3 linked regions of the Drosophila melanogaster genome follow. The protein of the gene in region 2 purifies or fractionates together with the protein of the main gene of each other region. This does not show direct contact. Each region holds a gene or a part of one and is shown on either strand. Other genes may lie near its edges.

Region 1 (5,719 bases), on a different chromosome or scaffold from region 2:
ATTGGCCCACCACTTGAGTTGAGTTTGCCGCCTATTATGTTTACATTTGTGGTTTTGTTTCGTCTCGTCCAACTTGTTTTGTTTAATTGTACTTGAACGGGTATGTACCTAAATTCTATTATCACGTTCTGATTGTTTCCCTTTTACATTTGATTTGATTCATTTGTCGTGCAGTAGCATTAGCGATATTGGCTTCCAATTCCAAATTCGAAATTCCTCATTTGCCAGGAACCTGCCACATTTGCCGCACATAGCGTTTAAGAGTCATCTGCCGAACTCATCGAGCAGCAACTCACACCCACGAAACAGCAACTGCAACATGAACACTGCAACACAACAACACTCACACACGTGAAATCATTAAGCGAACATATATTTTAATTATAGACTGATTTATTAGTAATTGAAATTAATCTACAAATATGTATGTGTAATGGTACCGTATGTATTTCAATAAAATTTATCGGTTTAAGCATAAATCTGAATAAACGCAGGAATAATAATAAAAATAGTTAAAACCATCTATGTGCCACATGTTATTGCTTCACGGAACTCTGGGAGCTTTGCAGCCAGAAAATCTAAAATTGATAAAAACCAAATTGATCACTTTCAGTATATGCGCGTAATTCACTTTATTTGTTCATTTTGTGACTGGACTGGAGTTGGGTTCACTCCGAAAAACAATAAAATATTTAATACTTTATAATAACACTAGAGTAGTTCTATGATTGGACGATGCTTGGATAGTTTCTAACAACTGCTCTTGGCAGATACCCTCCGGGTACCGACTATTTGGAGCAGGAAACATTTCCATTTGCGAGGGGTTGCGAATTCATTTACGGGATTATTTATACAGATTAACTTTTCTTTAATCAAACAAATCACTTCAATGCGATTCAACTCCAAAAACCGAAGTGGGTGAGTAATAAACTTAAATTTAAGTTATGGAAACTAAGTAACTATGAACTAAATGGGTAATTGACTTTGAGAATTCCACGCTGAGTCATTTTTAGATTTTCGACTTCTTGCTGCTGTGTCCCTCAATGCCGAGATTGCAGCGGGAGGCTACGTCCTGGGCTGAGGTGACCGTGCTGGGCACTGCACCGCCGCCCAGAGCCGAAATGTTGCCATTGCTGGGTCGCTTTCGCGTGGGCGAGTGAACCGGTGACTTCTGCTTGAGGCACTCCACATCGTTGAACACAACTTGGGCACCACCGCCACAAGTGGGAATTACATTGCCCTTATACAGCTTCGTCTCCACATCGCCATCCGTATCCGCATCCTGCGAGACGAGACAGTACTTCGTAGTTCCGTGAGCAGTCAACTCCTTCAAGTCGGTTAGTTTCGTTACGGATTTGCGATTCTTCAGATACGGCTGCATAATAGTGCCAAGCGGAACGGGATTAGCTGCCCGATGCTCCAGCCACTTGTCGCCTGCGGATCGAGAGCGTCTATGCCGATTGTTGGCCGCTGCTGCACCCTGTTGGGATATAAAATTATCAATAGATATTGCAATATTCTAGGATTAATCATACACTTACATGACGTGGCGTTGCATATATATCTGTTCGTGTAGCTGGCACCGAGGACTCCTCCGTGCGCGCCGTATATGCACCGCGATCTTTCTCATTAAGTATGTTTTCCGAGCTCTGTGACCGCGGCAAACTGGGCAGATCTTCGGACTGCAGAATGTTGGAGACCAATCGCAACTTCTCGTCCTTGATGCGCATGCGTTCCTGCAATTTCACTCGCTGTTCACGCAGCTTTAGTTCAAACTCTCGCTTATTTTTGTCCGACTCAACGGCCAGCTTGGAGCTGAACTTCTTCTTTTGCTTTTCCTTCTCGTGCTCCTTTTGGGTGAGCATATTCTCCTTCTCGTTCAGCTTGAAAGTCAGCTCTTCAATCTGCCGTTCTTGCTTGCTTAGCGTATTGTTAAGCACGTCAATGGAGCTCTCGTGGATGCGAACCTTCTTCTCGAGTGCCGCACTGCGATCGCGCTCCTGCTTGTAAACAGCCTTTAAGGAGGCGAGCTCCGTGCGCAGCTGAAGATTGTCGCGGTCAAGGTTCATCAGCATCTGCCGGAAGCTGTCACCTGAAAGTTGTGGAATTAGTATTTCAATGTTAAGATTAAGAAAGTGACGTCTTACATTTAATGTCCAAGTTGGCACGCAGCTTCTTTCGCTTTTCTATGCGCTGCTCCAGATAATGCATTAGCTCGCGGATTTTGATCTGTGCCTCGGGACTGTCCATTTCGTAGGCGGGAAAATCGGGTCCCAAACTGTACACCAAACCCACGTCCACCTCCAAATCCTTGGCCTCAGGAATGCCCAGCTCGTTTAGATTATTAACGGCAATCTTGAACAGCTTGTTGGCCTTGCGACGGCCGGGAGTCAGACCCAAATCTTGCTTCATAGGAGTCGCCCGAGCAATTTGCACCTCCTGGGTCATCTCGGCGAACTTCATCACTTGCTAAACGGGATAAATAAATTTTAGGGACCAGAGTACATTGTTGTCAGAAAAATAGTTTACCATATTCTCATCATAGTCCTCAATTCTTGGGTTGATGCACACAATCATGGACACCTGGCCTTCGCCATCGAAGTAGTTTTTAAACATGTGTGTGATCTTGGAGTCTCGATAGGGGACCTTCTTGGGTGCCAATCCATTGCTAGCCGCGAGTTGGTTCTCGCGCAGATATTCCAGGCAAGTGCGCAGCGTCATCAGCGAATTATTGATGTTGCCCGCCTCACGGAGTCGCACACCGGTGTTCTTGGTCCTTGAGGATCGCTCACTGCCCGCCAGATCCACCAGGGACAGTTGACTCACTGTGATGTTTTGCCGGTCCTGAACCACATTCTCACCCTGGCTATCAGTGGGCGCCTGCACCAAGCGTATATTGAACACCGAGTGACTCCTACTGGATTCTGCATTGAGAACAGTGTGTCCCATTCGTTTGCGCTTCTGGCCCATTTGAAAGACCTCGAGGGCGTCCTCCACGGTCTTGACCTCCACCTCTGTGACGCCGTGGACGAACATGTGTCGATTGGCATCTTCACGAATGATTTTGCTCTGCAAAGTCCTGTCGGGTCAAGAATACAGTTAGATTTCTTTAAATGTAATGCTTAATAAATACTTACTTCTGTATACCCGAGTCCTCAAGGAGGTCGTAGACGCTGTTATTGTAAATTTCAATATAGGTGACAAACACCGAGTACATGTTGTCCTCATCCAAACCCAGCAGCGGAATTGGCTCCACGGAGGCCTGGGATGCAATTTCCGGATCCGAGTCCTTGTGCCTGAAGGCAAATCGTCCTGAGCCAGCAAAACGCTGGTTCATCTCGTGTTGGCGCTCCAAAAGCGCATCCTCTTCGGACAGGATCTCGAAGCCATTAAGCTTGTCCGGCTTGAAGACGAACTTCTTGGCCTGGTAATCTGAAATGGTGCGAAAGAGCACGTCCAGGCAGCGCGGCATGATGCCGCGGTGTCGCAGGTTGCCGGTCATGGTGTACGTTTTTCCACTTCCAGTCACGCCGTAGGTGAAAAGCAGACTGTTTCGGCCTTTCAGTAGGTTCTCCACCAACGGCTGGGCCACAGCTGCGTACACATCCTGCTGCGTGGCATCCGGCTGGAAAACGTGCTTGAATATGTACTGAACCTCGCGCTGGGCGCCGTTGTGTGGCTTGTGATGCTGCAGCAGCTGATCCTGCGGATTCAGTGCGATCGTCGTGGAGTTCTTGACCCTTAGGGAGGTGAGATCTGCGTCGGATTGTAGTGGCCGCACTCGACAGAACACATTCACTGGATCCCTGGCCTTGTCGGAGGTGTCTCGTCGCTGTTTCTCCACCGTTTGATGCACCCGCGGAGTTTTCGGGACGACACGCATCGGCGTCCTGGGTCTGCAAATGGGTATTCTCATTGATGGAGTTGTTCTTTCGGGAACTGTCATATCACTTACACTGCCTTCATGTTGTCAGCTCGTTTTTGCAACTAATTTGATATACGGGAGTTGGGTTTCTTCTTGTTTTGTTGCTGGAATCGATCTCTCTTTTAGTTCGTTACCTTCAAATTTACAGCGCCAAGCGACGCCACGCTTGGTTTTAGAGTGACCGAACTTTAGAAAGCGGTTAATGCTGCAAATACCATCCCCTGCTCCAATATATACTTGATACATACTGAAACCGAGGCTATGTACAGTGCGTGCCATTTGAATAGGTTAAAATATTTAGATATACTAGATTTTAAACTAATTTAATACTTTTATTTATGATCTCACATACCAAATTAAAAGTACAATGTTTATAAATTAGTATGATATTAAGGTATGGAATGGTTATGATGATGCCAAATATTCTTTTAAAATTAATTAAAGATCATTTGAGGTCCCTATTGCTTTTTATTAAACTTTAGCACTGAGAAAATTTTCCGCATTAGTGCCGGTCCGTTCCAGTAGCCGTTCATCATCAGCTTCCAGTAGAGCACCGGCATCAGCTCCTTCTTCATAAAGAACATGGAGTACCTCTCCTTGGACTGGTCCAATGGAAAGGTCTCCACGGGGGTGAGGTTGTAATCAAACTCAGCCAGGATGCAGGAGCTGTAGCCGGTGACGATGGGGCAGGACGAGTATCCATCGTAGATATCCGTTGGGGCTTTGCCCTCGATCGCCGCCATTACGTTTTTGAACACAACCGGTGATTGGGCGGCTGGAGGTGAAAAATCAATTGAATATTCTGATCAGGATTCCCAACCCATTTACCTGCCGCCGCGGCCGTCTTCGAGTTGGGACTGGACGCCGAATCGCCGATGGCGAACACGTTGCTGTACTTGTTGTGCTGCAGCGTCAACTGGTCGACGTCCACAAAGCCAGTGGGGGTTACCAGTTTCTTGCAGTTGGCCACCACATCCGGAGTGCTCATCGGCGGAGTCACATGAAGCATGGAGTACTGAGAAAGATATAATACTTATATAAGTTTAATTTCATGGCCTTCAATTCTCCTATTTCTGCAATACTATACGACTTTAAAATTGATCTTAGTTAACCTACTCTTCATATTTCTCGCTTTAAGTAGAAAGATATAGTTCTAGGATCTAGATCTAGATCTATATAGTATCTAGAATACCCAATTAATTGACCAGCACTTACCGTTTCCTCATAGTGAACTCCTGGTTTGGCGAGATCCTCGAACACGGCTATATTATCTTTATGTCTCACTTCAACGAGATTTCTTTGAACATTAAGCGTGATATTTCTCCTCTTGATCAGTTTCATCAGGGCCTCTGCGTAATGCTTAACACCAAAAATCACGGGAAGCGATGTATTGTAGATGATATTGACGTTGTCGCGACGACCCATCTGAAAAGGGTTTCAAATTGAAGTTGTTTGCCAGATATTCTATCTAAATGATGCACACCTTCCTAAAGTAGTGCTCAGATATATAGGCGATTTTCTGCGGTGCACCTGCACACTTAATGGGACAATTGGGAAACGTGAATATAGCATTTCCTTTGTTGGTCCTGCGCAGACATTCGTACACATGATCCACGTACTTGGGCGAGTAGATGGAGCAAACATTACTGTCGGGGGTCTCCAGGGCCTCCACCAGGCCAGGTATCTATGGATATGTGGATATGGATATTAGCAACTATTAAACGTACTGATACCCTACGTACCTTTCCATAATTGAGCTGCAGTCCGGTGGCGATGATCAGGAAGTCGTACTTG
Region 2 (4,973 bases):
CGGAAATAAATCATGTGAGCCATTTTATGGGCCGTACTACCGTAACGAAAAGCAAAGTGGACACTGGACACTAAATAACACTCAGTGGAACGGGTTTCGGGAAAAAAGACAAGTGTTTGGACTTTCGATCAAGAGCCTCTCACTTGTGGGCGCCATGTAATTACTCATTGAATGCAGTCGAATGATTATAAATTACGTCGCAAATGTCGAGTGCGCCTTTTTTTAGAAGCCAGATACTTGTATTATATAAAACCCTCACTTTCGGATTAACTAGCCTGGTAATATTCCAACAATCAAGTTATTACGAACGTGTGGCGTTCGCTTAAGAGCAGTTGTTAACTTAAAATGCACACATAAGTATGTTACATTGATTGCTAAAGAAAACGCAGTCGTTACTCAATTCAAACAATCGTGAAACAAGTAGCTAATATGTTAACTAATGCACAACATTCAAGTCTCATGACAAGTTTATAACAATTTTCCTGCTAATGCTATGTAAGCATTTGCTGAGGTTTTATAACAAAATAATTATATTACCCGGGTGAAGACACTGCTATCTTTTTATTCGCGTTCTTAAAATAAATTTCTAGAAAGTTTACACGTGCGCCTTTGTATCAGGTCATAAATTTTATGGTCACATAGGAAAAGCAACAACAATAGATTAAATAGATATGATAAGAGGCCAAAATTTTAATCACTCAATTGATTGAGGTGCGGGAGGTCTTTGATTTGGTAGACCTTAATAAAAGGCTTTCCTATCGAAAATGATAAGGAAATAATAATAATAAAAAATACACTAAGTCTGCTGGCAATCTTAGCAAACAAAATAAACAAACGAATGATAACAAGGTTCGAGTTTAGAACTCGAGATCTCTCATATTTAGTCCTATAAAGCGCAGATAAACTCAATCTAATCTCTGGCTGATGTTGTCGTCTTCTTTTCCTTGTTTTTTTCGGACAATTTGACGCTTTATTTTAATTAAAGTAATTAGCACCCCAGTTAATTGATAGAGCCAACATAAATCTGTCTAGCAGCTGCTCCTCGCAGTGCAGACATCATTAAAACAGAATTCGCGTGTCGCGCGAGTCGAGATGATATCTCTGTAGACAGTGGGCTTCATAGCTCATCACGAGATCTGTTGAAAAGACGAATATCTGCCAGCCAGTTAAGTAAACATTTGACCGTACGAACATTTTGTGGGTACTTTCCGCAGGGGTCAACGTGTCATTTGCATGTTGCAGTGCAGTTCTACGTACTGATTGCTTTCCGGGTAATTACTGATTGCAAGGGGACCCCATTCCGTGGGCCACTGCCTAATCGAAGCGAAAGTGTTGATAAGCAATCCTATCGGTGGTGGCAAAAGTGCGGAAAGCATTGCGAATATACATATGCATTTATATTGAAGACATGAGGTTATAAGGTTTTACTGAGCTGAACTTATTCGAAACACATACTTAGCAATCACTTCTGGGTACAATTATTGATTTCAAAAACCAAGGGGATAAGAAAGAGTTATCATTAGCCGAAAGTAGACCAACCTACTGACCCGGTTGATAAGTACAAACGCAGCTAAGAACTATTTCGTAACACTTACCCGCAACAGCCAGGTGAGCACGCTCTCGCGATAGGGAACGAAGGTGCTGGGCGTCCCAGAGCCCAGGGGTCCATTGGCGATCGCCTTGCGGGAATCGGCGAGAGCAGCAATTACTTTCCCCAGCGTCAGCAGGCTCTTGTTGATGCTGACGCCCTCGCGGATCCGCTCGCCGTTCGATCCGGAGACGCTAATGCGTTCGCTGCCCGCCAGGTCCACCAGGCTAATCTTGCTGCGCCGCGTCTGCCGCAGGGAGGAGGCCGTGCTCGAGTCCGTATCCGAGGACAGGCCATCGTCACTGCTCAGATCGGTGAGGTTTAGGACAATGTTGAAGATGGAGTGTGAGCGCGAGCTCTTGTCGTTCATGGCCGTGGAGGCAGTGGCCCGCTGGGAGTTGCCCACGGCAAGCCAGTTGCGGAGTGCCGAGTACGAGTCCACCGAGTGGGCACTCAAGTCCACTACGTAGGGCCCGAAGATGGGATGCTCCCTGACCTTTAGAGCCGGACGCTGCTGCTGTTGTTGCTGCTGGATGGGCGTGGATTCCCCGGTGGCAGCTGCCGCATGCTGGACACTCAGCAGATCGTGTATCTTCTCGTTGTAGATCTCAAAGTAGCTGACCTCCACCTCCACCTGCAGCTGCTGCTGACTTTTCACAGCCTCTATGCGGCGGAATAGCTCGTGGCAGAAGCGTGGAATGATGCCCGCCTCATCGTGCGGCGGTCCGCCATCCAGAGCGGCGTCATCCAATGCTTCAATGCCCATCATGCTGTACGATTTGCCCGAGCCCGTCTGGCCGTAGGCAAACAAGCAGGCATTGTAGCCCTCGAAGGCAGTGTCGATCAAGGGACGCGCTGTGCCCTCAAAGACTTTGGCCTGGCAGGCGAAGTTCTTTCGTTCGGGATCGCACGAGTAGTAGACCTGGTCGTAGCTGAAGAAGTGCGTCACGCCGGCGGAGGCATCAGCACTGCTGCCCGCTTGGACAGTCAGCTCGTTGCTGTTTCCGTGCACCTGGACCACATTGGTGACCTGACCACGTGTGCATTCCAGGGCATTCAGTGGCCGCACTCGCACCGCCACAATCATGTTGCTCTCCTCGGACACGCTGAGGCAGGACTCCATCAGAGAGTCCCGCTCCTTTGTCCTGCTGCAGCTGGATTTCCCGGTGCCGGGCGTCTTTGCTCTTCCAGGAGTAGAGTTCGCATTCCTGTACAGCGACGAGGGTGTGTAGCAGGCATTCAGGGCCGTGGGCTTGGGCTTCGGCTGTGGCGTGCTCCCGCTGAATGCAGTGTTCAGCAGCTGTTCGGGACGATCCCGGTGCTCCCGATCCTCCGCCCGCGTCATCAGCACCTTCTTGCGCATCTCGGATGCCGGCGTGGATTTGTGGACTCCTCGCGTCTGGAACTGCTGGATGCGCTGCCGCACCGGAGTGCTCTTGTTGCTCATGTCTAGATTATTATTTAGGTATCTCTGCTCGTTTTTTAAATAACGCCGAAGAGTTTCGAATTATTGCGCGGCGTCGTTTGTTATTTTTTTTCTAGTGAAGGGCGGCGATCGATAGCAAAGCAGGGTTGATTACAGTGAGCGGCGTGAGGTCCGGCAACGCCACCACGAGCCAGGGATGAACAGCACTTACATACTCTGTTAGCTAACTCTGTTAATCAGCTCATTTAAATTATGAGATAATTGACAAAGAACTAACATGAAATAAATAAATATATAGCGAAATTGTAATAGTGTAAGGATTTCTACCCATACAATAGTCTATTTGTGCAGTTGTAAATCACTGAGAACAGTTGTGGCGGCAAACTGCTCAGCTCTGGCCGATAACCGATACGCGCTGCCTTGTTATCGGGAGCAGCTGTTGACGAGCAACGTAGACAAAAGTAAATATTATTGAAAATCCATAGCAATTAAAGGTGAGTTCCTTGCTGAATTGAGTTTGTTACCATGGCTATAGCATACCACACCCTGTCTTTGCAGCACGCATAGGCACTTGCAACAGAAAACGAGGGAACATCAATCGCTAATCAGCTGCAATTAGCCGCACTCGAAAAGTTCAGAGAAACTAGTTCCGAGCGTGTTGATATCGCAGTCGCCGCATTTGTGGCTTATATTTCCTTGTTCCCTCGATCCAAGTACCATATAAATAAGCGCGGCTCAAAAGCAGGTTTTGCATTCATTGTAAAACATTGCCAAAGCGCGCAGCTGATCAGCCGCATATATAAATCCACATCCAGATACAGATCCAGATATATAGTATAAATCGGACTTGAAATGTCGCAGCAACCTGTTGCCTTTTTAACCCGTCGCGAAACTTTCAGCGCCTGCCATCGTCTCCATAGGTAATTAGATTGAATCAAATTGAATCATTCAATTGCCTGATTCAATCACGGCTGGCAAACCAATTCAGTTCGATTTAAATTGATTGCTGCATCTATTTTCTCTTCAGTCCCCAATTGAGCGACGCCGAGAATCTGGAAGTCTTCGGCAAGTGCAACAATTTCCACGGCCACGGACACAACTATACAGGTAAAAAAAAAAATACCCCTTAAATACACTTAGTCGCATGATTACCTGCAAAGTGCCACACTTATTATCACATAACCCCGGCTCAATCAGGCTTAACCCCCTACTAAACTGGTAATTTGAGCCCAAAGTGGTGCCTAACCATAGCAAAACCTTGGCCGACAAGCTCGCTTATCAAAACCATATTCAAGTTCAACGCTCAAAGGCAATCAATATGTTGACTGGCGACCGAGAATTGATAATGAATAATGGTTCTGAACGAGCATAAAGTGTCGCAAGTGCTCAACTGATTAGAAATTTGGATTATATTTAGATTGTCAATAGCTAAACCTTAAGAACTCAAGCTTGACTCGATGCCGATTATACCAAATTATACCAAAAAATGTGTGAATAGACTACGAAAGATGTTCTTTTATAATCCTTTGTGATCTTTTCAGTTGAGATAACCGTCCGTGGTCCCATCGATCGGCGAACCGGAATGGTGCTAAACATCACCGAGCTGAAAGAGGCTATAGAAACTGTGATTATGAAGCGCCTGGACCACAAGAATCTCGATAAGGATGTCGAATACTTTGCCAATACAGTAAATAACCAGCAAGCACAACACAACTTACCGTACTTATCCTTTATATCTATCCCCCCCAGCCAAGCACCACAGAAAACTTGGCCGTTTACATCTGGGACAACATCCGTCTGCAGCTGAAGAAGCCGGAGCTGCTGTACGAGGTGAAGATCCATGAGACCCCAAAGAACATTATCAGCTACCGCGGCCCGTATCCGCTCAATGGCATCTACAACCCCATCAACAAACGCATCGCTCACGATTCGTGCACCAACATCTCGTCGGATTCGGAT
Region 3 (5,013 bases), on a different chromosome or scaffold from region 2:
AGCTGGGCGAACAGCCGCTTTCACTTCTAGCTGATCCCCTGCCGCTGCCCGAGGAGATGGACCCCTTTCGGGAGCACCTAGCCCAGCTGCGCGATCAGCGAGTGCAGCGCCTCAGGGATATGGACGAGCTGCGCCAGAACATCAAACGAAACATAAAACTACTCGAACTTCAATTGCGAACGGACTCGGAAAAGCGGTTACTCAATGCGGATAACCATAAGCTTACTCCCTACGCCTACGTGCGCCTGCAAGAAATGGACAAAGAGTTCGCCGACCAGGTGCAGGATCTAATCGACCGCATCGACGAGATGCGCGGCAAGATTGAATGCCTCTGGCAGCGGCTCAGGATGACCGACGAATACGCCATGCGTCGTGTGCGCGAAGCCACGTCCTATAACCAGTGCACCTACGACATATTGCGCGAGGAGCTGGAGCGCTGCCAGGCGATGCGGCAGCAGAATCTGATTGCCTTCATCGAGCAGCTGCGCATTGAGATCAACGAGTGGTGGGATCTTTCACTGAAAAGCACCGAGGAGCGCAGGCGCTTCACCACCTACTACTGTGATACGCAGACCGAAGATGTTCTCGAGCAGTTCGAGAAGGAGCTGGACAACCTTAAGGAGTTCTACAACAGCAACAGGAAGATATTTGAGCTATACGCGAATCGAGGCGAGCTATGGACGCGCATGGAGGCCCTGGAGGCCAAGGCCAACGATCCAAATCGGTTCAACAATCGCGGTGGACAGCTGCTCAAGGAGGAGAAGGAGCGCAAGACTATCATGTCCCGTCTGCCCAAGATCGATCAACAAATCACCGAACTGGTGCAGGTCTACATGAGTGAAACGCACACGCCGTTCCTGGTGCACGGCGTGGATATACTGGAGCGCATGTCGGCGGACTGGGAGCGGCATCGACAGTCCAAAAAGCAGCCCTCCGCCCAGAAGAAGGATGGCAGCAATACGAGCGGCCAAATGAAGCCGCCAATGGTGCCTCTTACGCCCAATACGCAGAAGAGCAACCGGGGCATCCATGGATCCACATCCTCGTTGAAGAAGACGCCGACCAAGGCAAATGCCAGCACCACGGCAATGAGCACAGGGAATCTGCACAAGAGACGGCATCCACAGCATCACAACACCAATAGTCCACAGCCGGCAGCAGCGGCCAAGCGAAATCTAATCGCATCGCTGGAGTGCAACAATGCAAGTCGCAAGGTCTGTGTGAATGGGCAGAAGCTGCTCAAGTCGCCGCAGAGGAAGGTGCGCGTGCTGGAATACTCGGTGCGTCGGGGCAAGGGATCCGGCAGGCCGAGCACAGGGAGCAGGAATCCCCAGAAAATTCGTCCCATACCAAAAATCCATGTGCGTCCGCCGTCCGGCGAGGAGAACGAGAGTCCCGACGAGGAGGCGGTCGTGGCCATATAATGGAGCTAGACTCTAATCACATCCAATGGCAATCATTTCGGCAACTGATCTGTGTTCTATATCTATTACCTGTACTGAAGTATTTGGCTCGCAATTGCAGACTCATCGTATTTATATGTATACACATATGTATAGTGTTAGGGCTTTTCCTAGCGCAAAGACTATCTAAATTTACAACTTTAAAATTCTTTTAACTATTTTGCACTACCTGTGACGGCAAGAAGTAAATGAACAATTGTCCACATTTTAAATTTTTAGTCAGATAAAAACGCTTGTTTACATTATAAATTACTTGATTTCAATTTTACCAAAATATACATGTGTGGGAAGGGTTTTCTAAAGTCTGTGGGATGTTTACTAAGCGCATATAAGAGAATATAATACGTTTTTAAGGAGCAAAATAATTAAAATAGATATTTTAATTTGCTAATAAACCAAATAACGAATTTTAAATATTCAAAAAAGTGGCGTATGCTCCAGCCCTGGTTTTACCAGAAGTTACCGCCGCGTGGCAATGCTGTCCCACAACGCGGTGGCAACACTCTTGGCCGCCATTTCAATTTGAATTTACCGAAATTTCTGTCTAGCGTCATCGATTCATTCAGTTCGAAATTTCGTGCAGTGATGCACTCTAAATAAACCACTAAATAAATCCGCACATTCCCGAGCAATCCTGCCCAGCGTTGTGGGTCTGCGACACAACTGTCAAGTTAACTCAGATATGCTGGTTAAATAGTCCCCAAGTGAACACAACGAAAAAACAAAGCCAGTGAGCATTTACGCAAGAAAAGAAATTTTGAACAAAAAAAAAAAAACACAAATTTCACAACGAAAACGGAGAAAATGAACTCGCCGAGCGCCATTGCGGTGAAGGCCCAGATCCTGGAGATGACGGGCGAGCACGTGGATCAGTTGCACGCGATGTGGTCGCAGTTGTTCGAGGTCAAGACCTGCGGTGAGTTCCTCCTCCGGTTGAAGGACCATGCGAACAGCTTCTTCACGGATTTGCTCAATGAGTCGCGCGAAAAGCAGCAGGCGATCCTCAACGATATAGCCGCCTTGCGGGCAGAGGCCACCGACTTGACGCGCCTACTCCACGAGCCGCTGGACATTGGCGAGCGGCCGGAGTCCATGCCGCTGGTCGTCTGGGAGCTGAAGCTGGACAAAAGCATCGAGCACTTACGCGATCAGCTGGCCAGGCGGCGAGCGGAGATCTGTGAGCTTCTGCTGCAGCAGGAGCAGCTGTGCGAGGAACTGGGAGAGCTGCCTCTGCCACTGTTGGCGGATCCACTGCCGCTGCCCGAGGAGATGGACGCCTTTCGGAATCGCCTGGGCCAGCTACGCGATCAGCGAGTGCTGCGCCTCAAAGAGATGGACCAGCTGCGCCAGGCCATTAAGCACGACATGAAGCTGCTTGAGTGCCTGCCCCAGACGGACACCGAGGAGCGTCTGCTCAACCAGGTGGATCACTGCCTAACGCCGGAGACCTTCGAGCTCCTGCGCAACATGCAAAAGAACTTCGCCGACCAGGTGAAGGAGCTGAGGGAGCGCATCGACGATATGCGCGAAAAGATCCATGTGCTGTGGGACAGACTCCAGGAGACAGACGAGTATGCCATGCGTCGCGTGCGCGAGGCTACGACCTACACTCAACGCACCTACGATGTCCTGCGGGAGGAACTGCAGCGCTGCCAGGCCCTGCGACGCCAGAATCTGAAAACCTTCATCGAGCAGCTACGCATCGAGATCAAGGAGATGTGGGATCTCACACTTAAGAGCCAGCAGGAGCGCAAGCGCTTCTCGAACTACTACAACGACTGGTACAACGAAGATCTGCTGGAGCTCCACGAACTTGAGCTGGACGACCTCAAGACCTTCTACAACAAGAACAAGGAGATCTTCGATCTGTACGAAAGCCGTGCCGAACTCTGGTCGCGCATGGAGGCGCTGGAGGCCAAGGCGAGCGAGCCGAATCGCTTCAACAATCGTGGCGGCCAGTTGCTCAAGGAGGAGAAGGAGCGCAAGGCCATCACCTCCAAGCTGCCCAAGATTGAGCAGCAGATCACGGAACTGGTGCAGGCATACGAGGCGCAGGAGAACACACCCTTTCTGGTGCACGGCGAGAACATCCTGGAGCGGATGGCCGCCGATTGGGAGCGTCATCGCCAGGCCAAACAGCAGAGCTCGGCGCGCAAGAAGGCACCGCCATCGGCCAGCAAGATAATGCCACCGCCGGCAACGGGCTCGACAGCTCCACGCACGCCGCGCACGCTGCGCAACATGTCGACCCTTTCCAGCTCCACCATGTCGCTGCGCAAGACGCCGTCGCAGCAGCACCTCCGTCCACTAAACATCACCAAGAGTACGGGCAATCTGCACAAGCGCCTGAATCCGTCCGGCCTGCAGACGGGCCCCAAAACGCCCAACGCCAAGCGCAGCCTTATGAACACACTCAACTCGATGAAGGCGTCGCCAGCCAAGCACCTGCTCGCGCCCAGCCAGCAGCATAACCAGCTGAAGAGCACCAAGTCGCCGCTGAAACGTGTTCGCGTACTGGACAACACACTGCGACGCAGCGGCGGTATGGGCAGGCGCAGCATTGGAACGCGTTCCAGCAAGAAGGCGCGCACCAAGTCCAACGATCAGAACGCCCCACCCGACAGCAGTGACTACACAACGGACGAGAATCCCGAGCAGGGTGTCAGCTATGACGAATTTCAGCCGACCAGTCGCTCCTCGATGCTGCCGCGCCAGCGTCATCAATTGGCCGTGCCGCGAACTCGTCGTGCGGAAATGAATGCCAATCTGCCGGTGCCGCGGGAAAGCCTGATGATCGTGCAGCCGCGCAGACAGTTCTAGTTCCACTGGAGATTGACTAGCTTAACGCGTACCTACTACACTATTTCATAACAGTTGGAGTTTCTTGATGTATTTTAATTTTTTATTTTCTGTTTTACGTTTTCAGAATAAAATTTATGTGAGTTTTTTCGCTTGACCACAAGACTCGAGTGTATTTCACATTTCTTTCAGCATAATTCGTGTGTAAATTTCAGGAATTGGTTGTACATTTGTTAATAATTTTTTGCTAGTTTTCCACCAAAAAGAAATAGCTGTACATTTCGATGTTTTACTATGCTTTCACGATTTATTTGATCATCAACTAAATTTGTTAATTGTTAGAGGGATGGGGAGCTATTTGCACTTTAATTTTAATATACTAATATACAACTAAATTTGTCAATTGTTAGAGGGAGGGGGTGCTATTTGGACTTCAATTTTAATATACTAATATACAATTCAATTTGTCAATTGTTTGAGGGAGGGGGAGCTATGTGCAATTTAATTTTAATATACTAATATACAATCGCACTGATGCAAGCTTTATAAAAAGATTCCAACCGCCTACACTGTAGTAGAGCAGTTCTTATTTGACTATTAAATACATATTAACACATTAAAATGGGCGGCACGTGTGGTGCCTGCGCCAGTGATGAACCCTTCAATTGGCCAGAGCCCGGTGCGGTGCAACAGCTCCTCCCAATTCGGATACCGTTTATGTACAGAGGAAAGCTTAAGTCTACACTGGAAT

The links.
Region 1: the proteins of neb (region 2) and pav purify together in Drosophila melanogaster (affinity purification with western blotting; one study listed by BioGRID). This does not show direct contact.
Region 3: the proteins of neb (region 2) and feo purify together in Drosophila melanogaster (affinity purification with western blotting, with the first as the bait; one study listed by BioGRID). This does not show direct contact.

What each region holds. Positions count from the first base shown.
Region 1 is NT_037436.4:4,241,125-4,246,843, reverse strand, and holds pav (pavarotti), read right to left. Parts: upstream 4,111-5,719; 5' UTR 3,967-4,110; coding exon 3,956-3,966; intron 3,897-3,955; coding exon 3,138-3,896; intron 3,080-3,137; coding exon 2,530-3,079; intron 2,470-2,529; coding exon 2,148-2,469; intron 2,093-2,147; coding exon 1,542-2,092; intron 1,481-1,541; coding exon 1,010-1,480; 3' UTR 611-1,009; downstream 1-610. Other genes in the region: Sqor (sulfide quinone oxidoreductase), read right to left, coding at 4,384-4,700, 4,754-4,940, 5,141-5,350, 5,409-5,609, 5,668-5,719.
Region 2 is NT_033779.5:20,073,919-20,078,891, reverse strand, and holds the start of neb (nebbish), read right to left. Parts: upstream 3,136-4,973; 5' UTR 3,036-3,135; coding exon 1,596-3,035; intron 1-1,595. Other genes in the region: pr (purple), read left to right, coding at 3,867-3,934, 4,042-4,121, 4,556-4,701, 4,764-4,973.
Region 3 is NC_004354.4:10,851,859-10,856,871, reverse strand, and holds feo (fascetto), read left to right. Parts: upstream 1-2,002; 5' UTR 2,003-2,267; coding exon 2,268-4,283; 3' UTR 4,284-4,426; downstream 4,427-5,013. Other genes in the region: sofe (sister of feo), read left to right, coding at 1-1,424.